Lepisosteus oculatus: one gene and its partner. The main gene of each other region encodes a partner of the protein of the gene in region 2 in a complex. Links are inferred from orthologs where the notes say so. Each region holds a gene or a part of one and is shown on either strand. Other genes may lie near its edges. The genes, in order: gigyf1a and tnrc6c1.

Region 1 (8,469 bases), on a different chromosome or scaffold from region 2:
CACACCTGACTGTACTGTAGACACTGCTAGAGCCACTGCTGTCCCTCTCCTCTCACACTCCCCCTGAATCCACCAGCACACACACACACTGTCACACCTGACTGTACTGTAGACACTGCTAGAGCCACTGCTGTCCCTCTCCTCTCACACTCCCCCTGAATTCACCAGCACACACACACACTGTCACACCTGACTGTACTGTAGACACTGCTAGAGCCACTGCTGTCCCTCTCCTCTCACACTCACCCTGAATTCACCAGCACACACACACACTGTCACACCTGACTGTACTGTAGACACTGCTAGAGCCACTGCTGTCCCTCTCCTCTCACACTCCCCCTGAATTCACCAGCACACACACACTGTCACACCTGACTGTACTATAAACACTGCTAGAGCCACTGCTGTCCCTCTCCTCTCACACTCACCCTGAATTCACCAGCACACACACACACTGTCACACCTGACTGTACTGTAGACACTGCTAGAGCCACTGCTGTCCCTCTCCTCTCACACTCCCCCTGAATTCACCAGCACACACACACACACTGTCACACCTGACTGGACTGTAGACACTGCTAGAGCCACTGCTGTCCCTCTCCTCTCACACTCCCCCTGAATTCACCAGCACACACACACACTGTCACACCTGACTGGACTGTAGACACTGCTAGAGCCACTGCTGTCCCTCTCCTCTCACACTCCCCCTGAATTCACCAGCACACACACACACACTGTCACACCTGACTGGACTGTAGACACTGCTAGAGCCACTGCTGTCCCTCTCCTCTCACACTCCCCCTGAATTCACCAGCACACACACACACACTGTCACACCTGACTGGACTGTAGACACTGCTAGAGCCACTGCTGTCCCTCTCCTCTCACACTCCCCCTGAATTCACCAGCACACACACACTGTCACACTTGACTGTACTGTAGACACTGCTAGAGCCACTGCTGTCCCTCTCCTCTCACACTCCCCCTGAATTCACCAGCACACACACACACACTGTCACACCTGACTGGACTGTAGACACTGCTAGAGCCACTGCTGTCCCTCTCCTCTCACACTCCCCCTGAATTCACCAGCACACACACACACACTGTCACACCTGACTGGACTGTAGACACTGCTAGAGCCACTGCTGTCCCTCTCCTCTCACACTCCCCCTGAATTCACCAGCACACACACACTGTCACACTTGACTGTACTGTAGACACTGCTAGAGCCACTGCTGTCCCTCTCCTCTCACACTCCCCCTGAATTCACCAGCACACACACACTGTCACACTTGACTGTACTGTAGACACTGCTAGAGCCACTGCTGTCCCTCTCCTCTCACACTCCCCCTGAATTCACCAGCACACACACACTGTCACACCTGACTGTACTGTAGACACTGCTAGAGCCACTGCTGTCCCTCTCCTCTCACATTCACCATTAATTCACCAGCACACACACACACTGTCACACCCTGCTGTGAACTGTAACACAGCAGACACTGATAGAACCACCACTGACAAAATTTTTATTTAAAATAAAAACATTTCAGTCTTTAAAAACGGTGCTTTCAAGTCTCATGGTATTCTCATCATCGTCTCAATAGTTACCCCCCTCCAAAGCAATGCCTTAAAGAAACAAAACACTCTGAATAGACAAAATCATACAAACGTGCCTTAAAGTAAAGTACCGAACAGCTGAAAAAGAAACTCAATCCTCCCCCTAAAGGCAACACTGCTTTGTTGCTGACCAGCCCAGCTCCAGATCCGGACAACTATACTGGTTTAAACCATCAGAGAGAATAGTGTGTATCACTGGTCCAGGCGGAGACCGAGTTATGAAGAAACCCAGGTCTCAGTGCCTCACTTTCGTGAGTGCTCGGTCACCGAGGGGCACCTAACTCAGGATTTCATCGCAGCGCAGGGCCGTCCACTTTCCAATAAGTACTGAATCGACCCTTGATTGCTGAATTCGCTCCGATCGATAACGAAGGATCAGCCGGAGAGTAGGCTTTAATGAGATAAGATAGATCAGATTTTTATCGTCCCCTGGGGGAATTTTTTTTATGGATGACGGGGAACGCAGGTGCCGGACCTGACAGCCCCCTGCCAAAAACGCACGGCGAGACCGTCCAAAACAACGTCCGTGCGGGACCACACCTCCACGGACCGCACGCAGAAAATCACCCAGCTCCCTGAACCACAGGCCAGCGCCAGCTCGCAGGGATCGGAGTGCGCGCACTGCCCTGCGCGGTTTTAGCGCATCCGAACAAAACTTCAAAACACAAAAACTCGCCGCCGCCGCCGCCGCCACAAACCCGTCTGCACCTTGGTACGGTGACAAGCACCTCAGGGGGGACAGTCCTAGCTTGCGGGGAGCTGCACGGCGCCCCCTGAAAACTGCCCGTCCCCACCCCACACGCCAGGCTCCCGGACCCACTGCGCGGCTGCAGTCCGTCACCTCCACGGCGTCAGAACAGGCGCACCATCGGCACCGTGAACACCGACACGACCCGCTCTGCGCTCACGCCGCCCCGCCAGCCCTGCCGCCCGGTCTTGATTAACGCATGAGCGGCGCAGGAAACGCAGCACCACCTTGTTACAGCACCGATGGCAGAAGCAGCTGCAGCTGCGGCGACGTCCCAGCAACGGCCTACCCTGCGCGGTGCAAAGCGACGTTACTGAGGCTGTCGTGGGAGGAACAAACTAAAAACAAACAAACCCGTGCAAGTTCCAAAAAAGACGGGTGTCGCACAGCTGTGCACGCCGGGCGATCCTGCACCGATCCAGCCCCCGAGATTCCCGGTCGGGAGAGAGGGGGCCCGACGCTGCAGGCCTTCCAGCAGGGAGGGGGAGGAGGAGGAGGAGGGGGGGGCGGGGTGTGAGAGGCACTGACCCCCTCCCGCCCACCTCCCCTCCCCGCCGGCCGCCCCTCCAACTCTACCCCGCTGCTCTCGCCGCGGCCTTCACCTGCTCTCGGTCTTTCCTCCTGCCCTTTCATCCCCACGACGAGGCGAAAGAAACCCTCAATCCGCGCAAGACTTAGAGCCCCCCAAACAGACAAACCGCACCCTTGTCGCTTACACACACACCTCCTCCTAAAAAATACAGTTAAACCCGGGAAGAAGCAAGTCTGGCGCTTACCTGCGTTTTGTTTATGTTCCCGACTTGAGTTTTTTAAATGTATTTCTCTCTCCTTGAATTATTTTGTTCGTCTTCTTTCCGCTGTCTCGATTTTTTTTCCTCCGCCGGATTACTCGCTGCTATTATTATTAATAACTATTATTACTACTGTTGTTTTAAATTCTATTTTTAAATGCAAGTAGTATCCAACAGTCGTTGCGCGTTTGTCGCTGTGCTCACTCGCTCCTTGTTTGTGTTTTAAAAAAAGATGGCCGTCCTACTCGCGCCACGTGATAGGGGAGCTCGAGAAGCTGAGTTTTTCCCCGAACCACAGAAGTCGCCCCCTGTCACGTGATATATGATCCAGCAGGGTTGGAGGATGCCGCGCGGCTCCGGCTTCTAACTCTGTTTTTTCACTTAATGCGCCAGCATAATGTGTGGAGTGCTGTTCATGTGGACCCCTTAACTAAAACCAGCTTGCAATGAAAAACACGAAAGGCCCTCCTGGACCAGGACTAGACAGCTTGCTTTAAAGAGACCTGGAGAGACTGCAGACACACTGACCCCTCCAGGACCAGGACTGGACAGCCCTGCTTTAAACAGACCAGGAGAGACTGCAGACACACTGACCCCTCCAGAACCAGGACTGGACAGCGCTGCTTTAAAGAGACCTGGAGAGACTGCAGAAAACTGACCCCTCCAGGACCAGGACTGGAAAGCCCTGCTTTAAAGAGACCAGGAGAGACTGCAGACACACTGACCCCTCCAGAACCAGGACTGGACAGCCCTGCTTTAAAGAGACCTGGAGAGACTGTAAACACACTGACCCCTCCAGGACCAGGACTGGACAGCCCTGCTTTAAACAGACCAGGAGAGACTGCAGACACACTGACCCCTCCAGGACCAGGACTGGACAGCCCTGCTTTAAAGAGACCTGGAGAGACTGTAAACACACTGACCCCTCCAGGACCAGGACTGGACAGCCCTGCTTTAAACAGACCAGGAGAGACTGCAGACACACTGACCCCTCCAGGACCAGGACTGGACAGCCCTGCTTAAAAGAGACCTGGAGAGACTGTAGACACACTGACCCCTCCAGGACCAGGACTGGACAGCCCTGCTTTAAACAGACCAGGAGAGACTGCAGACACACTGACTCCTCCATCACCAGGACTCGACAGCCTTGCATTAACTGTACAAGAAGCCTTTTCCTTGCTCTGCAGCAGGTGAAGGTTTAAAGGGACCTGCAAGCCCCAGAGCTGGGCGCCTCTGATTTAAATACACCTCTTTCAGCAGCACTCAGGGCAGAGAACGGATGACATATCTTCACACAAAGGACAGTGGGTTTCTGGAAAACGTTGCCCAAGAGCTCTGTTGAAGCTGATTCCCCTGGATCTTATAAGAAAGGGCTGGATAGGATTTGTGGCTCATTAGCAATCCAATTAGCACGAGGGGCAGAGGGGCCTGCTCACTTTTGTAACTCTTTGTATGCACTTGTGCGCTTGTGAAGTGACCCTCCTGTCAGCTGGGAGAACGTTGTGCAAGTCAACTCATACGCTTCATTCCTCCTTCGCCTCTGCAGATCTGGAAACTCCCTTCTGGGACTATTGGAAAACGCGCATGGCTGCGTCCATCACAGGCCTGACCATGTGGTGTTTGCATGTTCTGCCTCCGGTCTGGTTTCTGAAAGGTCACTCTCGGGGTCATTTCCCGCCTCCCCTCTCATGCGTGAGCCTGGGTCTCGTCTCTCTCAGACACAGCTGGTTTCCAGACACCGGGCACTCATAAAATCCACCTCCATAGCATCGGCTTAAACTTCCTCCTCTAGATGTCAGAGCAGCACATATTTTAGGGAAAAAATTCAATATGTGGCTAAAATAACTTTAAAAATCCACCAGCCGTTGTATGAAGTTCCATAATTCAACACTTTTATGCCACATAGAGGAACTTCTTGCCGTTTCAGATGGCTATTGGACTTCAAACTTAAATCAATTAAGTTTTTCAGGGGTTCACATACTGTATCTATATATAGGCGCTAACTCCTCGTTGTCATGCATTTGTTGGTCGCTGTGGCGTCCGTCTATTAACGTTGTCCTACCGGGGCTTTCCGCCTTTCCGGGTCGGACCAGTTCAGCGGTGTCGCTCTAAAACCCTTCCGTCTCTCTGCATGCGAAGCCCCAGGACGGGGAGCCGAGGCCGCTGTCCGGGTCGCAACAGCACGAACGACACCACCGACGTCGATCTGTAGTCTTCAGTTCTTTCACTTGGAGAAAAGGTCAGTGGTTTCGGTGTGCAAAATAAAAAAACAAAAACAAACGAACTAGCTGAACCAATGTCAGGAGCCGTTTTAAGTTACCGCAAAGAGGTGGGCCACGTCATCTGCACCGATGTTTCCTGACGCGTTAAGCCGCCAGAGAAGCTCACCTAATCGGCCTTCACCAGGGCATAAAGCCCCCCTAAACTTAACTCGCTTTATTAAGGCAGAAATAAATGTTGTATGTTCACTGTGCTGTCGTCCGATTTCACTAAAGAGCGCGAACACGTTTATTACGAAAACGTGAGAGTAAAACCGATGAAGCCGAAACTTTGAATGATGAAATCAGGAGGATTTTATTCCGGAACTTTTCGGAACACATTTGCCAGCAAAATAACTCTTCATAAAATGTATTGCTCTGTTAGCTACGACTTGCGTGTCGTCCTGGGATTGTTTTCATTTTGTTTGGCATTACTGTATCTCTCCATTCATGGCTGTGCAAACCAGCAAAGAAATTCTGTCTCTTCTCCCTTAAAATGACACATTCCCTGCGTTTCGCCGCGTAATTCCAAATTCAAATACATTTGGTGTAAACATAGGCTAAAAGCTTTGGAGGCGTCTGACAATCGACCAACAATAACAGTAACAGTAAACCAACTGGATGTGTAAGTTTTACTGACAAAGTCATCATAAATGTATTCCATTGAATATTTAAAGATTAGGCAAAAAAAATATGTACAGTACATGTTTCTGCAGTTTTACATAAAGAATAAAACCCAGGTTTAACCCAGGAATTCTCTACCTTGGTGTTCTCCTTCATATATTAAAAAGACAGTACACATACTCCGTTTATGACTACATTTGTACAGAGAGGAGTGTGATGATATTCTACTGTTGTCAAAGGCAATGCTACTTGGCACAGGACAATATGATTGCATATATATTGCTGGATATTAATGTATTAGCCAATATTGTTCACAAAGTAATTATGTTTTAACACAACACCAACTCCCTCTGCCTGCTCCTCCTCCCTCTCCCTCTCCCTGCCTGCTCCTCTCCCCCTCTCCCTGCCTGCTCCTCTCCCCCTCTCCCTGCCTGCTCCTCTCTCCCTCTCTCTGCCTGCTCCTGTTCCAGTGTGATGGCAGATCCCCGGAGTCCTGTGTCTGTCCCTGCCAGTGGAGGCACTGCCCGGCCACTGGGGGGCGCTGGCGAGGTGGAGATGGACCCCGTGGAGTTCACCCTGCGGAAGCGGCTCCCGCGCAAGCTGCCGCGCCGCCGCAACGACGTCTACGTCAACATGAAGACCGACTTCCGCGCCCAGCTGGCCCGCTGCCAGAAGCTGCTGGAGGGCGGCGGGCAGCGGGAGATCTGCGTGCACGGCCTGGGCCTGGCCATCAACCGCGCCATCAACATCGCGCTGCAGCTGCAGGCCGCCAGCCAGGGGGCGCTGCAGATCGCCGCCAACACCTCCACCGTGGAGCTGGTGGACGACCTGGAGCCCGAGGACGAGGAGGGGGGCGAGCCGCTGACCCGCACGCGCAACAACTCCGCCATCCACATCAAGGTCTTCTACGGCGAGGGGCACTGAGGGGACTGGAGCGGGCAGGGACGCGCTGACCGGTCCCGCAGGGTCTCCGGTCCCGGGGCATTCTGGCTCTCGGAGGACAGCGCGTTGGGAGATCCCGTCTGCACGCGGTGTTGCACTGATCCGCGGCAGGACGGCCCAGGCTCCTGATCGCCCCTGCGTGCCCCCCCCCCCCCAGCTGGTCTCTGAGCAGGTCGTCACTTCTCGGCCGTTGCTGTGGTTTAATGACTGCTGGGACAAGAGCTGACAGCCTGATCACACCGCCGCGCTGCTGGAGAAGGTGCGTGGGTCCTGCTGGGTGGGGTGGGCCTGCGCAGGCCCAGCGCCCTTTCTGCCCCATCGCCCTTTTTCCAGGCGAGAGCCTTGACTCTGTGCCGTGAACAGGACGAGGCTGGAATCTGAGCAGCAGCCTTTCCCTGACGGTGTCGGCCAAGGAGATGCTGTGCAAAAAGAATGACGCTGATAGAGTAGTTTTCATCCCATCGGCAGTCGTGTCGTGTTTCACGTCGTGAGACATCAGCGAAAACGGACTTGCGTTCCGGGTGCGGGTTTGTCCTGAGGGATCCAGGAAGGAGTGGGTGCCTCTGGTCCGCTTGGATTCAGGCTGGAAAGGCAGAGCAGTGAGGCGGACGGAGGAGGGTGACCAGTGCAGAGCTGCAGTGCTTGGCTGTTCGTGTGTATTTCAGCCCCTGGGAGGTCATGGGTACATCCGTGTGGGCACACTTGACACGGGACGGTTGTTTTGTTTCTGATTGTTCCTCTGTAAATAAAAGTCTTTTCTGTTTGACTGAATCCCCTGGCATCTCTTAGGATTGGTATGTCAATAATCCAACAGTAGGTAAGGCAGATTCCCAAGCCTGCTGCTTGCACTTGCAGACATTTACACCAACAGGTCTGTGGAGGCCAGGCTATACTACAGGATGCCTTTCTGATTTCATCAGTACCATTAGTGCAAGAGCCTCCTTCAGCTGGTAATACCTGGGGTGGATCAGCTCCTGCTGTGCAGTGAGAACCTGATGGCAATCGCTGTAAAACCCGGAGTGGATCAGACTGCTGTGCAATGGGAGACTGATTGACCATACTATAAAACCTGGAGTGGGAGTCTAATTTGTTTTTGTGTGTTCTTTGTGCTTCACCATTCTTTGCTGTAAGCTTCCTTCCCAGCTGATAATTAACTCAATTACAGTCTTGTATTAGTTCAGGTGGTCAGCATGCGTAGGCTGCAGAGGAACAAGTAATAGGTTTCAGGTGAAGAAGAAGAAGGCTTCACGGCCAAAAATTTTTGTTTTCTTTCTTGTCTTTTCAGCATGGAATAAACCTATTGTTCCTTTACAGTCTTGTATATCCTATGTAATAATTTAATATTATCACTAGGGGGCACTCACGCAGTAGCATCTAGAAGGTCTGCATCTCAATAGTTCATGCAAACATCGGAGAAAATAAAAGTCAGGTCATCCATACCTTTGTAAACTGGTGCTGCATTTGTTAAAAATGAGCAAAACAA
Region 2 (8,240 bases):
AAAGCTCTTTCCGAAGGGAGTGAAAAGAAAAGTTGCAAATAATGGAAAAATGTTCCATTTCTTTATTTGTGGCAAGATAACGGCAGCCAGATCTTGAGCTTCTGCAGCGTCCAATCAAAACAAGGCCAGCGAGCACTCAAGGGCACGGAGGTCTCCTGGTTTTTATTATCCAGTATTACTCAACAGGGCTCAGCTGAATAACATGAAGGCTACAGCAGCACACAGCTACAGTAGACCTGTAAGTGCCAGATGACCCACGAGGGGTCTTAACAAAACGGGTCTTAAGACGCCATCAGCTCACTTGGCAGCGATACTTCAACGTGAGCCGGGGGAACATACGTTGTTTGTTTGTTTGTTTGTTTGTTTGTTTTTTGGAGGTCAGCCGTCCCCCAGCCGCTGGAGTGGAAAAAAAAGAAGAAAGTTTGCCCCCAAAACTATTTAAAAACACAGTAAGTCCGGGCTGACGGCACAACGCAGGAGCCCAGACGCGACCCGCTCGCCGGGGGGGGGGGAGGAGGCAGAAGGCAAGAAGAGCAGAGGAGCAGGGCAGGAAATGCAGAGGGGCGAACGTGAGCGGGGGGGGGGGGGCAGACGGCTGCTCAGGAAGAGCCCTTTCCATCTCCAGCCACCAGGCACGGGTCCGTGCTCCTGCGCGCCTCGGCCAGAAGAGAGACGCAGAGGGAGGGGGGGAGAAGGAGAAACCGGAGGGAGGCGAGCGGAGCCCGACGCTCCGGGCTGAAGGCCAAGAATGTCGGCGCTGCAAGACAGAGGTGCGCGTTCCCACAGGGCCCTCCGGCCAGCACCAGCCGCAGGGCCGGGAGGAGACCTGCGGCCGGACACGGCGGCCACGGCCTCTCTCTCTCTCCTGCCTGCCTGCCTGCCTGCCGCGACTCTCGCTTGAGGAAGTCGCAGCTTTCCAAGCTTTCCCGAATGGGACTTAATCCGGCAATCCCGCAACCCGACGCTTGAACCCGGAACATCCGAGGAAAGACCAAACGGATCAAGAAAGCTTAAAAAAAAAACAGATGTCGCTGCAAAACAGAAGGGGGGGGTTGGGGGAAGATGTAGAAATCCTGCATTACGGTCTCTAATTTGATGGTTCAGAAATACTTAACCCCCTTCTCCGTGTGATGTGGTTCGTTCTGGCAGATGTAAAACTGTACCCCCTCTGCTCTAACTATGATTTTACCACCTCATGACAAACTAATTTTTTCAAATACTTCACTTTGAAAGTCTCAATAGCTCTAAAAACAGAACTCATGACTCATTTCTAAATCACCCAGCTAAGATTTTCATTTCCTCCAAGTGTAGCCCATGTATTCGTTAGCCTGCAAAAACAAAACACTTTCGCATATAGGTAGCAGATGTCTTTAACTTGGGTACAGTCATATCTGCACTACAGGATTTCTGTAGACACAACAGTTAAGATTATGCCAAGAATAAATAAGAAATGAGCAAACAATAAGGACTTCTGGAAGGGAAATGGAATGTTAATGTACTAGCATGTCTATAAAATCAATTTCCGTTGTGAAGAAAGTGTGAGGGTTTGACTATGTGGCCTCAAAATCATCCATCTGGTCACAAGTTTTCTTTCTTTGGAAAATGAGGTACAACTATCACGTAATGCCAGCTGCTTAGTAAGAACTGTATAAAACAAGTCAGTGCAAGAAAGGGAAATTACTCAATGAAAGGACAGATTTAAATGAAATTATATATAACCACAGAAACTGCCTTTACCATGGGGGGAAAAGCACCACACTTAAAACGCGACTGACCAAGAATCAGGTTTCTGAGTGGCAAAGGTTTACCTCCTGGACCAAAACGCAGTGTTCATCCTGTACAACCCAGTCCAACAACATCCAAAGAGACGCTTAACTACTGCACTGCAGCCCCGACACACATCCCTCTAACCCAGAGACACCCCAGCCTAGAGTTTTCCTGCTCGCTCTAAAGGTAGGGCCCACAATATGCAAGCTTTTTGTTTTTGTTTTTTTTTATTTGGTTTCCGGTTTTCAATTACTTTCTCACACTTGGCAAGTCCAGAGTAGTTTCGTATCCCGGCTCAAGGCTACAAGCCCCGGGACCGCGGGTGAGGAAGAGCAGACGGAGCCGGCCGCAGCCTCTCCCGTGTTCAGGAGGCTCGGCATCGCAGACATGCACTCCCGACTGGCGTGTCGGGACAGCAGGCACGCGGGTATCCAGGGAAGTCGCCGCGTCGCTGGGGGCCCACGACAGCCCAGCGAACTCACCCCAAGCCGGTCATCAGCACCGCTCGGTGCACACAGGTGAGGATGCCTAGATCACAAGAGCTCAACCTGCACAGGCTCCTTTGCCAGTACAGCCAACCACAAACCTCAGTGATCTCCACAGTTGAGGAATTAGACAAAAGGATTAAGGACAAGAAAGTCTGAAGGGGGGGGGGGGCTGGGGCTACCACACCTCAATGAGTCCTCAAAAACCATGACTTCCTCTAGCCTCATTGCCCTCCAACGCTTGAGAATCCAAAGATCTGCAAACAGAGGTCCTTGCAAAAGACACATCCCAGTCCCGGGACTGAGCCCAGGAGCAACACTGGGGTTAATACCACAAGGCACCCACTAGTCACACAAAAACAAGCTCGCCCCCACCCTAGAAGCACCCATACAGTAAACCGCTTCAAATCTCCAGCAATTAACAGAAGCAATAGGGCTTCTCAAGGGACTGCAAGGGGAAAAGCCAAGTAGAGCTGGAATGCCCACGAAGGCAGAAGACCCATTTTGTAGTTAAGTCACCCCCTTACCAACGGACAGAGGCATGTGTCCCACCGCTCCGTTTAGGTACCTGAAAGGAAATCATTGTGATCCGTGATAAAGTCACATTCCAGGGCAGACTGGATAGATTTCGGGGTGTTTACAACAGCTTTTGCATTCCTAAAACAAGCGCATCTTGCCACCAATAAACTCTTTGAAAATGTATGACCATTTCATACCACTACAAATGAGGCAGATTTTTAGAAAAGTGTTTCAATTTTCAAATAAAGGCTTCACCTTTCAGCGACAGCCTTCATCCGATCTAATACAATATGTACACATCTGACTTCATTATTTATCTAATAGTTATTTTCTACAGGATTACCTCTGGATAGCTTTGTGCATCTTTAAATGTCATAAAGAAATCTCATGTTGTTGTACCAATGTGAACAGAAACACACACCTGCCAATCTACTTACCAAATCCAGAAGCTTTGACTTGCTTTTTAAAAGTTAAAAATGCCATAGAAAAAAACGTAAAGCTTTCGATTTATAAATCTCAGCACAGGAAATTCATTAACTTCATCTGCTAACCCGCTTGACAACAGTGAACAGTATCAAAACTATAGTTTCATCTTCTTCCATTCTAGACTAAAAGAATTGCTTACATATTCACCAAATATTCCAGCACAGTCCCTGCATGAAACACAGATCATTATTTCACTTAAATGGATTTGTTCACTAATAAGAAATGCATGCATGAATTACACAAACAAATGCAGAAATAAAAGTATTCTGAGATAACAATACCAAAGAAAAATATTAAATATGATAAAACAGGCTCTAATTACAATGATTGAAACAGAAGCTGTCTATAAGCCATATGTAAAGCAGGCTTTAAACACGGGGAGGTGTCAATCAAAATAGCTGACAGTACTGATGCCTGTCAAGAGATAAAGCAGAGCAAATAAGAAAAGAGAGGTTTCTCTTTTAAAGCCAGAACAAAGCCTTTGAAAAAATGCTGAGTGACTGGAACGGTTTAGTGTCGGGTAAAGCACTGGAAAAGCATTCATCTCTCCGTGTGCGTGCCTAGATTTGAAAAATGCAGGAGAAAAAAAAACTCTCCGACGATGTTCAAAACCATGTGCAACCAGTGCTATTTATAATGCACACGACTGAAGGAAGCCCACCCCTGCTGCTATTTAAACCGATTATTATTTTTCGCACCACACTGAGCTAGACACAGACTGCAGGATGGGCACACACAAGTGCAGCAGGAAAGTGAAAGTGTCTCTTGAACCCTCCAGTCAGAACTGGGAGGGCAGGTTAGAACAATGTCACAGGAACACAGTCATATGAAAAACTTCGTAGAGAGAAAGAATCAGTGCAGCTTCCCAGGGTTCAACAAACGCATAAACCACAGTTTTGCCTGCCTCGGTGTCCGTGTGTGTGTAGAGGGGTGGAGAATGACTGCTGAAAAAAAGGACACCGAGACACATTTTGTAAACCATCACGTATAACGTTAAAGGGAAAAAAAAGACTTTTTTTCTTACTTAAATGTGAAAATTTGCAAAATTTGCAAAATTCAAACTGGAGTGAGATACGTTCTTTAAACACGCCCCTGCAGCCAGCTCCTGCTTAAAGATAGCCTTTCACTAAGCGTCCAGCCTGCGACATGCTGGACAAACTGAAAAGACAGACCGCTGACATATTCGGACAAAGCCAGGATCCAGCAGATGGAGGTCTGCACATTGTAGGAAGGAAATTTAAACCCTAATGGCTTCACACCATTCTGATGCAAAGAAATCCAATCGTGGTCCAAAAGGGTCAGTGTGTCAGCAGAATTGCTGGGTGTCTGTAAAGCAGCAGCACCTGAAGAGCTGGGAGGAGCTGTAAAATCGGTCCAGTTCAGCCAGAAACCAGCTGGTTTAGCTCATTAAGAGGCGAGTCGGAATGTGAAGCTGCAGGCACACCGACTCTCCAGGACTGGACACCCCTGATCTAGACCAACCAGAAACAAATACATGGAATCAAGTGAAAAAAATGTTTCTGCAGTTAACTAGCTTGGAATAGTACCAACAAATCAGGTAACAATAACAATAAAAAGAACAACAGACTGGCTGAACATCCCATTATGGAGAAGAAACTCTTATGGTTCACCTTTCCAAGATATCGAACGCTGTGCTTCTTTTCTAAAGAAAGCAATCACTGCACATTTAAACCAAGAACAGAGCATGGTTTCCGTATTTCACTTTAAGAAATCCGTTTCGTTTCCAGGGAAGCGAGATCAAATTTGGCACAGTCTGGAGTTCAACATTACATCACTAGAAAGTGAGGAAGTTACGGAAGGTAAGTCATCTGGCAGCTTCTTTTGAGGTTTTACTTGGGAGTGTCCCCATTATCTCACCATTCCAAATAAGCCCATGTAAAGTAAGAATAATGTAAGGGAGGGCCCCCACCCCCACCCCCACCCGAACACTAAGTTTCCCAAACCCTCCCCAACAACCAGGAGTGTTATCTGTGTGTCTGCGTCTCACATGGCAGCGCCAAGCCCAATGAACCTACTGAGAAACCGTCTCCCCCTACTGCTACTGTTTTCTAGACCTGCCGCTTCCAGGTCACTTATAATAATAATAATAATAATAATAATAATAATAATAATAATAATAATAATTGCTTACACTTATATAGCACTTTTCTGGACACTCCACTCAAAGCACTTTACAGGTCATGGGGATCCCCTCCACCACCCCCAGTGTGCAGCCCCACCTGGATGATGCAACGGCAGCCATAGTGTGCCAGAACGCTCACCACACATCAGCTATTAGTGGGGAGGAGAGCAGAGTGATGAACCCAATAGATGGGGATTATTAGGAGGCCATGATTGGTAAGGGCCAATGGGAAATTTGGCCAGGATGCCGGTACTCTTTTCAAGAAACACCCTGGGATTTTTAATGACTACAGAGAGTCAGGACCTCGGTTTTACGTCTCATCCGAAGGACGGCGCCTGTTTACAGTATAGTGTCCCTGTCACTCTACTGGGGCATTAGGACCCACACGGACCGCAGGGTGAGCGCCCCCTGCTGGCCCCACTAACACCTCTTCCAGCAGCAACCTTAGTTTTTCCCAGGAGGTCTCCCATCCAGGTACTGACCAGGCTCACACCTGCTGAGCTCCAGTGGGCTGCCAGTGGTGAGTTGCAGGGTGATTTGGCTGCTGGCTTATCATCTGATTCACACTCCTGGAGCAACTCGCTCACTGGGTACATCCCGAAACAGTCAACTCCTCCATCGGACCCAGGTGAGAGATTTAATGATCAAGCCAGATCTCACTCTCACCAGCTGTCCAAATAGGTGCCCTGTGTTGTCCAGGCCCATAATAACGCAGGCGCCATTTTCCTCAGCCAGGGTACTGTACAATCCCCACCGTGGGATTTTTTTTGTCTATTTTCAGAAGCACCGATAAAACTCATAAAGTTAAGCTGTTCTCAAAGTACGAACTTGATGCCCTGTTCTTCCCCTTAATAACCTGTGATCCTTTCAACACGGAAATGTGTTCAAGTGCTTTATCTTCCAGAGACAAAACACACAAAGACAGACGAACACCCTGTAACTACGAACAACCCGGCCTGCTTCAGCCTTTCCTTTACCCCTCCACATGCCTTTCTGCGTCCTTGGATGTTTTGTCTGCCTGGTTACACATGGGTCAGAGTGTCTCCAACACCTGGATTCCACTCACCCTTGGCTCTCCGCAAATCAAATTAGTCTGCATGGCTAAATGTGTCCACTGTGTGAAAAGACAAAGGGCGTACAGCTGTCACCTGATATTTGTGTGCAGGGACGCCTAGGGAGCCTGAAACCATGAGGCAAATACAACCTGTTCTTAAAACAGCTTTTCAGAAAAACGGCACTGGGATATAGGAGGCAAGAGATGAATACATTGTTAAGCACAATGCCGGGCTCTGGGAATAAAACCGCAAACCATTTGATGGAATCAACTTTACCGTATCACAAAAGTTGATGTTCATCGACATCAGTATTAATGGGTTAGGAATTTACTTAATTCAAACAGTACTCCTTTTTATTTGATTTAGACTCTATCATCCATCACAGTCAGGGTTACGTGCTCAGTTTTCAGAAAGGGAGTGGATTCAAACGCCATGTCTGCTTCCGTTTTCATAGATATAAATATCCTAATAACCATGCCATATAGTATAATTAAGCATTTCACAACAAGAAATATCCAAAGATTGCACCTTACAAGCACATGGCAAGAGATTTTTGTATTGATCTGGTCCCATCTCATAATGATTTCTAAAACAGCCAAATAAGGTGACAGGTCTTTTTAAAAACCATCCCTCCTGCCACATATCCAAAGACTATAGCAGGCATGAGTGTGATCGTCCAAACTCTCTCCTCTCTCGCTTCTCAGCCACAGTTAAGATGGCTGAGGAACCACAACAGGTGAAAGCTCTACCGATATGGACAGTTGTGTCAACACAACGCCAAAAAACGGAAAACACAAAGGGAAATTTGTTATGGCCGATTGTGCCCCAATACCAAAAAACTCCAATCGTATCGCCTAATGGAACAGATTACCAAGGCAAGCTGTGGAGGCAGAGAAACCAGCATCTTTCTGAATGAAGTCTGATGCTGTGGTAGCACCACTCAAACTGGGACAGAAGGAAAGACCTGTTCTTCCAAACAAATATTACAGACGTCATTCTTAAACCATACAATACTGAACATGGGAAGACCAGAAACAAAAATTACAGATTGCTGGGACTGGTCTGATTCCTACCATCAAAGTGAAAGACTAGAGATTGTTTAAACATCCTTGACACAGCACTGGCATTGCATTTTCTTAGTATGATTGCATTTGACTGGTATTTAAATTGTACCATTATTGCTCCTCCAAGCTGTATATTACACATGTATTCATTTTGTGCTGCTCTTGATATCACTGCACTGAACTGTACCGTCTTTGAATATTACTATCGTACGGCAGCACTGATATGCACTGTATTTTTTTTCACCGATTTGAATCACCCAGGCAAAGGGCACCTGCTAAACAAACAATAAAAGGTCACCACCGTTACACAGTTCTGGACTCACAAACGTGCTAAAATTAATCTTTCCCACAGCTTGCTCAAATCACACACACAGTATCTGTAGGATATCAGGTCTTACCTCAAACAGTCTGTGGCACCACCAATGTCATAGTTTTGTTTATTATTTAACAAGAGTGTTTCATTATTTCTGGAGACTAACTTACTTGACAAGAACGATTCTAAAATCTTTTGGGAACATAACCTCAGCCAAGGAGCTCCGATGTTGGAAGACTTCTTAAAAACCTAAGTAAGGCGTTGCAGTATTTTTTTTTATGTTGAATCCATTTCCACTCCCTCCTTCTCACGAGAACTCGTAGCTTAGTCACCCACTCTTAAAACATATTTAGCAGTTGCTGTGCTTTTCTGTTTACTAGTCCAGGCTATGATGGGTGTTAAAATAAT

What was found.
Region 1: the proteins of tnrc6c1 (region 2) and gigyf1a are in contact, whole or in part, in a crystal structure (PDB 7RUQ), measured with the Homo sapiens proteins. The link is inferred for Lepisosteus oculatus from reciprocal best matches to the Homo sapiens genes TNRC6C and GIGYF1. Residues at the interface, in NP_001136112.2 of Homo sapiens: Arg1719, Pro1720, Pro1721, Pro1722, Gly1723, Leu1724, Thr1725; in NP_001362694.1 of Homo sapiens: Tyr479, Asp481, Pro482, Gln487, Phe490, Trp498, Tyr503, Phe504, Leu508.

The regions. Positions count from the first base shown.
Region 1 is NC_090698.1:9,897,845-9,906,313, reverse strand, and holds the start of gigyf1a (GRB10-interacting GYF protein 1), read right to left. Parts: upstream 3,406-8,469; 5' UTR 3,148-3,405; intron 1-3,147. Other genes in the region: pop7 (ribonuclease P protein subunit p20), read left to right, coding at 6,519-6,968. UniProt on the Homo sapiens protein: May act cooperatively with GRB10 to regulate tyrosine kinase receptor signaling. May increase IGF1 receptor phosphorylation under IGF1 stimulation as well as phosphorylation of IRS1 and SHC1.
Region 2 is NC_090704.1:44,664,290-44,672,529, reverse strand, and holds the start of tnrc6c1 (trinucleotide repeat-containing gene 6C protein), read right to left. Parts: upstream 3,047-8,240; 5' UTR 2,836-3,046; coding exon 2,780-2,835; intron 1-2,779. UniProt on the Homo sapiens protein: Plays a role in RNA-mediated gene silencing by micro-RNAs (miRNAs). Required for miRNA-dependent translational repression of complementary mRNAs by argonaute family proteins.